2 linked regions of the Rhinolophus ferrumequinum genome follow. The protein of the gene in region 1 interacts with the protein of each later gene in a biochemical or structural test. Links are inferred from orthologs where the notes say so. Each region holds a gene or a part of one and is shown on either strand. Other genes may lie near its edges. The genes, in order: HIP1 and clathrin light chain B.

Region 1 (3,905 bases):
TACCTCGTAACACTTTTGTCCCTTTACGAAGGAGTTCATCACAGCCTGCATGATCATGTCCTGTGCTTTCTTATGTCTCATCTCCCTAGTCAGATTATAGCAACAACCACTGAAATAGTAGTGCTCCACAATTTACAAAATGCCTTGACGCATATTGTTCAATTTAATCCCCACAATAAACCTGCAAGGTAAGTATTATCTCCTACAATAAGGAAACCATGGCTTAAAAAGGTTAGACAACTTTCCTCGAGGCCACATAGCCTATCCATGTGCCCAGCTATAAAACTCAAACCTCTTCTAGATCCCATGCCAGTGCTCTGCCCAGGGGCAACACAAGGTAGTGCTTAAAGATTGGGACCACTTTTAGCTGTGTGGCCTTGGGCAGGTTACTTAACCTCCCTGTGCCTCAATTTTCTCCTGGAAAATGTGGCCGATACCCACCTCGTAGGTCTTTGTGGAGATTAAAGAAGGTAATACAATAAAGTACTTAGAATAGTGCCAAACACTAATTAGTTACAATTATCATTATACCTTGGCTGATTCTCATGGTCTCTTACCTCATTAAAATTTTTTTTCTAAGTTATTTTTATATAGCATAATATATTTGATAGGTAGTCATTAAACTTAGTAAGTGTTTGCAGATTGACTAATGCTAAGATTTTGGATTGTTCTCTTTCCTCTCCTACCTCCCTAATAATTTCAACAATAGCAAAACTCTCTTTTTCCTCCTCCAGTCTACTCTGCATTCCCATAACAACTCCCAAACACTAGGTGAAATTCAGCCAATTACAAGTGTTCTGCAGAAAAATCTAGACTCTCCTTGTTGGGTTATCCCTGGATCAGGAGGGGACTACCCATCATAGCTGGAAACTTTCACAAACTTAATTTCCACCACTATAATGGGTCACATTTTATGTATACTTTTCTATTGCTCCAGTTTTTACTTATTTGAGACTCTAGAAGGAACGGGTTATCATAAAATACCACCTATTTATTTTCCTTTTCCATTAAAAAAAAAGAAGAATATTCACACTGTTTCCTGAAGCAAGAAGTCACATGTCACCAGGCTGCTCGAGGAGGCAGTCACACCCAAGGCAGACGGAAAGCTTTCTCCTTTTCAGCAGTGTGGTCCACAAAGCCAGAGAATGAGCCTCAAACCCTGATTGGTGCTGGGAGCAGAAGTGAATGGCCAACTCTCCCATCCTGCCTGAGGCAGGATGGCCCAGGGAGGGGACGCTCCCTACTTTACAGCACCCTTATACACCTTCAAGGGCCAGACGTGGCTGGAAAGAGGAAAGGATGAAGTCCCTGGGATGAAAAGCTTTATTCTTTTCAAGATTCCATATATAGAACACTCAGTCAGATCCTCACAATCTTTCCTATCTAAAAGTTTGGGGAGAAACGCAGAACAGAGCAAGGGAACCAGCCTCTGGCAGTGGAGGCTCAGCTGAATCTTCAAAGGTTTCACTCTGAGAGCAAGAGTGAGATCCAATCTGCCCATACAACTCTGGCACTGGGATTAAAAGAAGTGCTGCCTGCTTTGAAATGGATTTTTGCATACAAACGACGTGATGAACACCATAAACATGTCAGCGTGATTCAGTCAAATCAATTCACCAGGCATTAAAACTGAGGTAAAAATGGATTGTAGCTTTTCGTTGATGACACAGAGGAATTTGGCCCCCAGCCTTGGTCAGTCTGGACAAATAAGGCAGTCTACCTATTAGCTGTCAGGCACACCTTGGTGGATGAAACCAAAACCCAAGTCAGGGCTCTGGGCACCACCGGGCAGCTCATCCCACCAGCACTGGGCTATCGGGCCAAACGCCTCCATTCCTGCCCCTGGACGCCTCCCTCCTCCAGCTCCCATTTTCCAAACTCGGCCACACTTCGCATTTCCCACATTCCTTCTCACCGCTCAGACCCCTATGGCCAGGCCTCCAAGAGCCGACAGCTGGGGGTGGTGTGAGCCAAGAAAGAGGCACCAGGAAGGGGGTGTTAGGGGTTGGGGGTATGTCAGTGCAACTGAGAAGCGATCGAAAGGGGAGGAAAGGACTTCTCACCCTTCATATCCCCAACTCCGCTCCCTACTTTCCGCCGCTACACTTGGGTCTCCCAGTGGCTCCCAGTGCGCTCCCCCTGCCTAGGGACACTCCTTCCATTCAGCCCCTTTTCGGTTCTTCCCCAAGTCACCGCCCCTGTGACCCCAGCGCTGCCCCGCCGGGACCGGCTCCTCTCAGCCGCGCCGCGCAGATCATGCCAGCTCCTCGGAGACAACCTGCCCTTTCCCCCAGGCCAGCTGGGATGCCCAGGTCCCCGACCTTCCCGGGTCGCCTAGACCTGAGCACCAGATGCCCCTTTCTCCCGGCCCCCTTGTCCCGTCATTCCCTGGGCCTGCAAGACCCCTACTCCCTTCATAGCCCTTAGGGACACCGCGTCTCCCGGGATGCCCCCGCCACACATACCCTGGGATCCCCTGGTCCCCACCTGAGTCCGCTCGAAGCTCTCTCGCTCCGCCGCCTCCATCCCCGCGCCGACCCCGCGCCGGCTCAGCACCTTAGGCAGGGGGTTGGGCACCTGCTTCATGGAGCTGGCCATTCGGTCCATGTCGCCGCACCAAGCTGAGTGTGGGGCCCTCGGCCGCCCTGGGATCCCCACGGCGCCGCCCGCCCCGCCCGACCCGCTGGGATCCGGCGCTAACGGGACATCTCCCGCCTCCCATTGGCTGGGAGCGCCGCTACTCTCCCGAGGCCCCGCCCCACCAGAGGCTTCCCCGCCCGCCCCCGCCCCTCCGGAGCCCCTCGGAGTGCCTCGCCGGGTCGGGCCCTCTGGACCGCGAGGCGCGCGGTGACCGGCCCGGAGACCTGTCCGTCACTGGGTCCTACCGCCCCCAGCGGGGCGGGGCAGGCTTGGAGGCGGCCCTGACCTGCCCTTGTCCGCCCCTACCCCGACGCCGGTGCACCTCCCCTCCCAGCGCCCGCCCCTGCCCCGCGAGCCTCTTTCCTTCAGCCTCTGGCACTGCGAGATCCCCGCGTGGTGGGCGGAGGTCACGCTGGACTGGAGTCCGGCCTACGGCTGGGGCTCTGGGCCCGCCCGGGATAACCCTGTTTACTCCTTTAGGGCCGGGGACTGAGAGCTTGGGCCGGAGCCCCTGGAAGCGCTGCCCCCAGGCCGGGCAGGGTGGGTCAGTGTCTGCCAGACCTGGCCGCCGTGGGTGGCGGCCCAGACCCAGTTCCCTCGGCTTCCTCCCTCATCCTGACGGTGCCCTGAATCCCTGCCAATCCCCTTTGTAATGATCGCACGTGGGCTGGGTCAGTGGGAACCTCCCGCACCTTTCAAACCTCTCCTCATCTGGACCGGCCACCCCTCCCATCCTGCCCAGACGTCAGCCAAGGTACCGACAGGCAGAGGGAAGTGCTTAACGAGAGATGCTAAAGAATGTTAGAGAAGTTTTCCGTGAATTTTGGTGTTTAAAAAAACTCTGACGGCCAGACTGGTGGCTCAGGTGGTTGGAGCTCTGTGCTCCTAACTCCGAAGGCTGCCGGTTGGATTCCCACATGGGCCAGTGGGCTCTCAACTACAAGGTTGCCGGTTAGACTCCCCCAAGGGATGTTGGGCTGCGCCCCCTGCAACTAAGACTGAAAGGACAACAACTTGAAGCTGAACGGCACCCTCCACAACTAAGATTGAAAGGACAACAACTTGACTTGGAAAAAAGTCCTGGAAGTACACACTGTTCCCCAATAAAGTCCTGTTCCCCTTCCCCAATAAAAAATCTTTTTTAAAAAAACCCCAAAAACTGAAACTCGAAGTAAATAAAGGCATTAATTTTTTTTAACAGCTTTTGATAAAAATTCACACGTTCAATAGAGAAGTGGAAGATGGGTGGTCTTTTACAGGCAGGA
Region 2 (3,905 bases), on another chromosome or scaffold:
AGCACAGCAGACACAAGTCCCAGACATGACCCATTTTGGAACAGTGGCAGACGGGGTCCAGAACATTCCTGGGAGCTTACTGAGGCCCAGTAGGGCAAACAGGCTTGCCAGGAACTGACTAGCAAGTCAGCGGCAGAGCCGGGCTGGGTGCTCAGCAATCTAGGTGTGAAAAAGTAAACCTTCTGGGCCTTACCCAAGGTGATGAATGGAAACAGTGTCCATTGCACAGGCTCCAGCCCACAGAGGAAAGACTCAATGTAGCTCAGGCTCAGGCCTACACAAGACACCTCTTTTCCCAGGGGCACCTGGGGCCCAAGTCAGGGCACTCTGTGCAGGGGCATCATCTAAGAGACAAGACTCAGAGGTGCTGACAGGCAGCGGTGCTGACAGGAAGCCAGCTTCCACCCAGCTCCCGGCAGGCCAAGGCACATGTTCCCCACCCATTTGGCTTCTGGCACTCACTGCTAGTCCAGGGGGAATTACTTGCTCAGCACCATGTAGGCTTAGGAGGGCAGATCAATTCCATCCTTTCTGGCCACCTACTGAGCTGCCAGCCACGATACCTCCTGGATCCCCCTGCCCCACTCAGAAGGGCATTTGCAGCTTTTGCAGTGTGAAATTGTGAGTCCCACAGACCCTCACAGGGCATGTCCCTGCTTCTCTCCCTGCCACCTCAGGCATGCGGCCAATTCATGCCCCACCCCTGCCAGAGAGGGAAACTCCCATCCAGGCTGTGAGCCCTGAGAGCCCCACTGTCCTGGGAGAGGCCACAACCCGCTCAACTCCCGGACGCCTCTGGTTACCTCAGCCTGACTTCTACTGCTTCTCTCTCAGGGGGTTGTGACATCTGCTGTTTTCAGCAGAGCATCCCCCAAGCCAAGCCAGACTGGGGAAGCTGGTGGTCTCAAGGAGGAGAAGTGGACAAATGAATACTGGTGCGTGAACATGGGCAGGCATTTCCTAGGATGTGCAAGAGTCTGTCCTGAGGTGCTAGGAGCTGCCGCTTCAGAAGACCTCCACTGCTGGTTTGGTTGGGTAGCAAAAGACCGTCCCCTCACCCCCACATCCCATCACCTCCCAAGATAACTGCCGACCGCCCTGCCGTAACATGTGAAAGAGCATGGAGCCCAGACTTGGGAGGTCTGGGAATGGATCAAGTCCCAGTTCTGTCACTCACGGCTGTGTGACTTTGGGCAAGATACTCAATCTCTCTGGGCCTCCACTTTCTTATATGTTACAAAAGTCTTGTTACATTTCTCAAAGCAAGGGGCTACAGAGAGCTTGAAGCTCCTCAAGTCACAGAAACTGTCTTACTCATGTCTGTATCCCCAGTGGGCCTGGCACACAGAAGGTGGTCGCTAAATGTTGAATGAATACAAACATAACTCTAAGGAGCCTTACTTGTAAACATTTTCTTAAAATATGTAAGCTACCACTGACTCCAAAAGGCCCAGAAACCCCCACCAAAATAACGACATTAACAGAAAGCAAGTGCTGTGTTGGATGCACCCATGAAGGTGATATCTACTTTTTTACTAAATGTTTTAAGAAATTATTCTTTCAAGCCAGAACCAGAACAGAAACATCATTGATAAACGTGCTGTCACAAAGACCAGGCCCCGGACCCTGTGTCTGAGGCTAACCACAGCAGCCCTGGCCCACCTTTGAAAAACACCACAGGGCAGGACCACATGTGACTGTGCCCTGCCCCCACTCCCTTGGTGTCTAACTCAGAGCCAGGCATATGGAAGACAATGTGGTCAGGTGGAGAGGGCTTAGAGTCTGACAGAAACAGATTTAAACGGTCGCTCTGCCACTTACCAGTTGTTTTAGTACTGTACTTTTTGAGCCTCGATTTTGCTATCTCTGAAATGGGTTTAATAATGCACATAAAATTATTAAATGTAAATAAAGTGCCTAGCCCAGTGACTGCAGGACGGCAGGTGGTCCCCAGGGAAGGTGTGTGAGTTCCTGGAGCACCCACTGTCCCCTGCTTTCCCAGCTTTAGGAGAAAGCTAAGTCTGAAGGGCAGAGAGGTCTGCGGTTCTGCCCACATTTTCAGGGCTCAGCTGGAAGCCCACACAGCCAGGCGACTACTACCCCAGGCCAGATTCTCAGGGCTGGGCACCATTGGATTCCAAAGCTTCGCAGTGGTGAAGCTGGCCAGGGAATGAAATGTCATGACGAATTCTTGTCCCAGGAGCCACCAGATCCACAACCCCAGGCGGGCCCTCAGATGAGAATTTCCAAGATTCCTCCGCATTTCCCCCCCGGGCCCGGCTCACACACTGCCCCAGGCCTGCTCCTGGCTAGTGGCGAGCAGGCGCTCTGCTTTCTCCCCGTCTGCGGCCCCGTCCAGTTTAGGTGAAGAGGCCCCGTCTGCGCTGCCTGGTACCCCGGTTTGAGGCGCAGGCCCCCCGCTGCCCAGGCCACGGCGCTGACTCACCCCCATTCGCGGGTCCCGGCTGCGCCAGGACCGCCTGGCCGCCGGCAGGTGCCCCGAAACCTTCGTCATTCTCTATGCCCGCGATCTCACTTTCCTGCTGGGCCAAGAAGGCAGCCGCCGGGTCCTCCTCGGCCGCCTCGGGGGCCCCGCTCAACGACGACGAGAAGAAGCCAAAGTCATCAGCCATTTTCCCTGCGTCTCTGCTGGAGGGTCCGCCTGGCGCTCGGCTCTGCCCGGCGCGTGCCCGGCGCTGCGCCCCGCGGCGGCGGCACAGTCACCCCAGCGCCCAGGGAGCCGACTTCTGCGGGGACGCGCTCGGTGTGGTGGGCCCGCACTTCCTCTTCGCCACCGGGCCCGACTCTCCTGTCACTGCGGTGCGGACGGGAGGAGCCGGGACGGGAATGCGGTGATGTCACCGGCCGAGGGAGGGGGCCCGCAGGACAGCCGGAGGTCGCCTAGCGGCGGCCACCGGAGGGCAGCAGCAGGACGGTGGCGCAGCCCGAGGGGCCCCGAGGCCGGGGCAGCGCTCTCGTTCCCTGCCAGAGGGCTCATTTCCAGGACACCAGGACACCGCACAGCTCCGGCCGGGTCTACAGGGGAAGCTCACTGCACAAAGTGGCCATAGCGTGCACAGGGCCACCGCGGCGGGCAGCCCCGACCTCCAGAGCACGGAGAGGGTGGCCGCTGCGCGGAGCTTGCTCCTGGTCCACTCTGCAGTTTCTTCACCTAAACTGGGTGGATATTATAAATTTCATTATTATGAGGCCAAGAGAGGTGACACTAAGTCCCACAGCGTGATTGCATCTTTGTTGCAAGTCCAGAGCCTTTCCCACCAGGACGTGTTGCTTTAGTGCATTTCTCTTCATTTGGGGTGGCTTCAACTCAGATCGCCAGAGATTGTATGACCTGACTGCACCCCTGCTTAGAGGCTGGGCCCCTCAAATGTCCAGTCTGAGAAAGGCGGACAATTGATCGAGGCAGCCTGCCAGCCCCCACCCAGTCACCCTCACTACACAGTGTCCGAACGCCTCCTCCCTGCCTGTGCTGTGCCAAGCACTAGGGCGACAAAACGTAGCAAAACCAGTCTTGGCAATGGGGAGAGTACAATCTATCAGACCAGCAGATGGCAAGCGGGCCCTCACAGCCCGTGTGCAGGTGCTCTGACATTGAAACGGGGTACCAGGAAACCCGGAGGGGCTTTGGGATCTTCTCTTTGCGATTTGCAACTTGAACATCAACGATGAACTGGAAGAGAAAAAGGAAAGATACACCCCAAGCTGTGGTAGCAGTTCCCTTAGTGGGTGGGGGCGTGGCAGTAGGGTTGGGGTGAAGGGGCCTTTCAGGCTTGCTCAGTAATACTTTGATGTAGGTTTCACTCTCACGATGAGAATAGTATTAGTAGTGTAAACAAGAAAGAAATTTAAAGCCCTGCTTACCTGGTCCAAGCACACCGCTCCAC

What was found.
Region 2: the proteins of HIP1 (region 1) and clathrin light chain B form a complex in vitro, tested with the Homo sapiens proteins (2 studies listed by BioGRID, with this or other methods). The link is inferred for Rhinolophus ferrumequinum from reciprocal best matches to the Homo sapiens genes HIP1 and CLTB.

Annotation. Positions count from the first base shown.
Region 1 is NC_046290.1:92,837,297-92,841,201, reverse strand, and holds the start of HIP1 (huntingtin-interacting protein 1), read right to left. Parts: upstream 2,608-3,905; coding exon 2,488-2,607; intron 1-2,487. UniProt on the Homo sapiens protein: Plays a role in clathrin-mediated endocytosis and trafficking. Involved in regulating AMPA receptor trafficking in the central nervous system in an NMDA-dependent manner. Regulates presynaptic nerve terminal activity.
Region 2 is NC_046307.1:6,084,980-6,088,884, reverse strand, and holds the start of clathrin light chain B, read right to left. Parts: upstream 2,863-3,905; 5' UTR 2,634-2,862; coding exon 2,447-2,633; intron 1-2,446. UniProt on the Homo sapiens protein: Clathrin is the major protein of the polyhedral coat of coated pits and vesicles.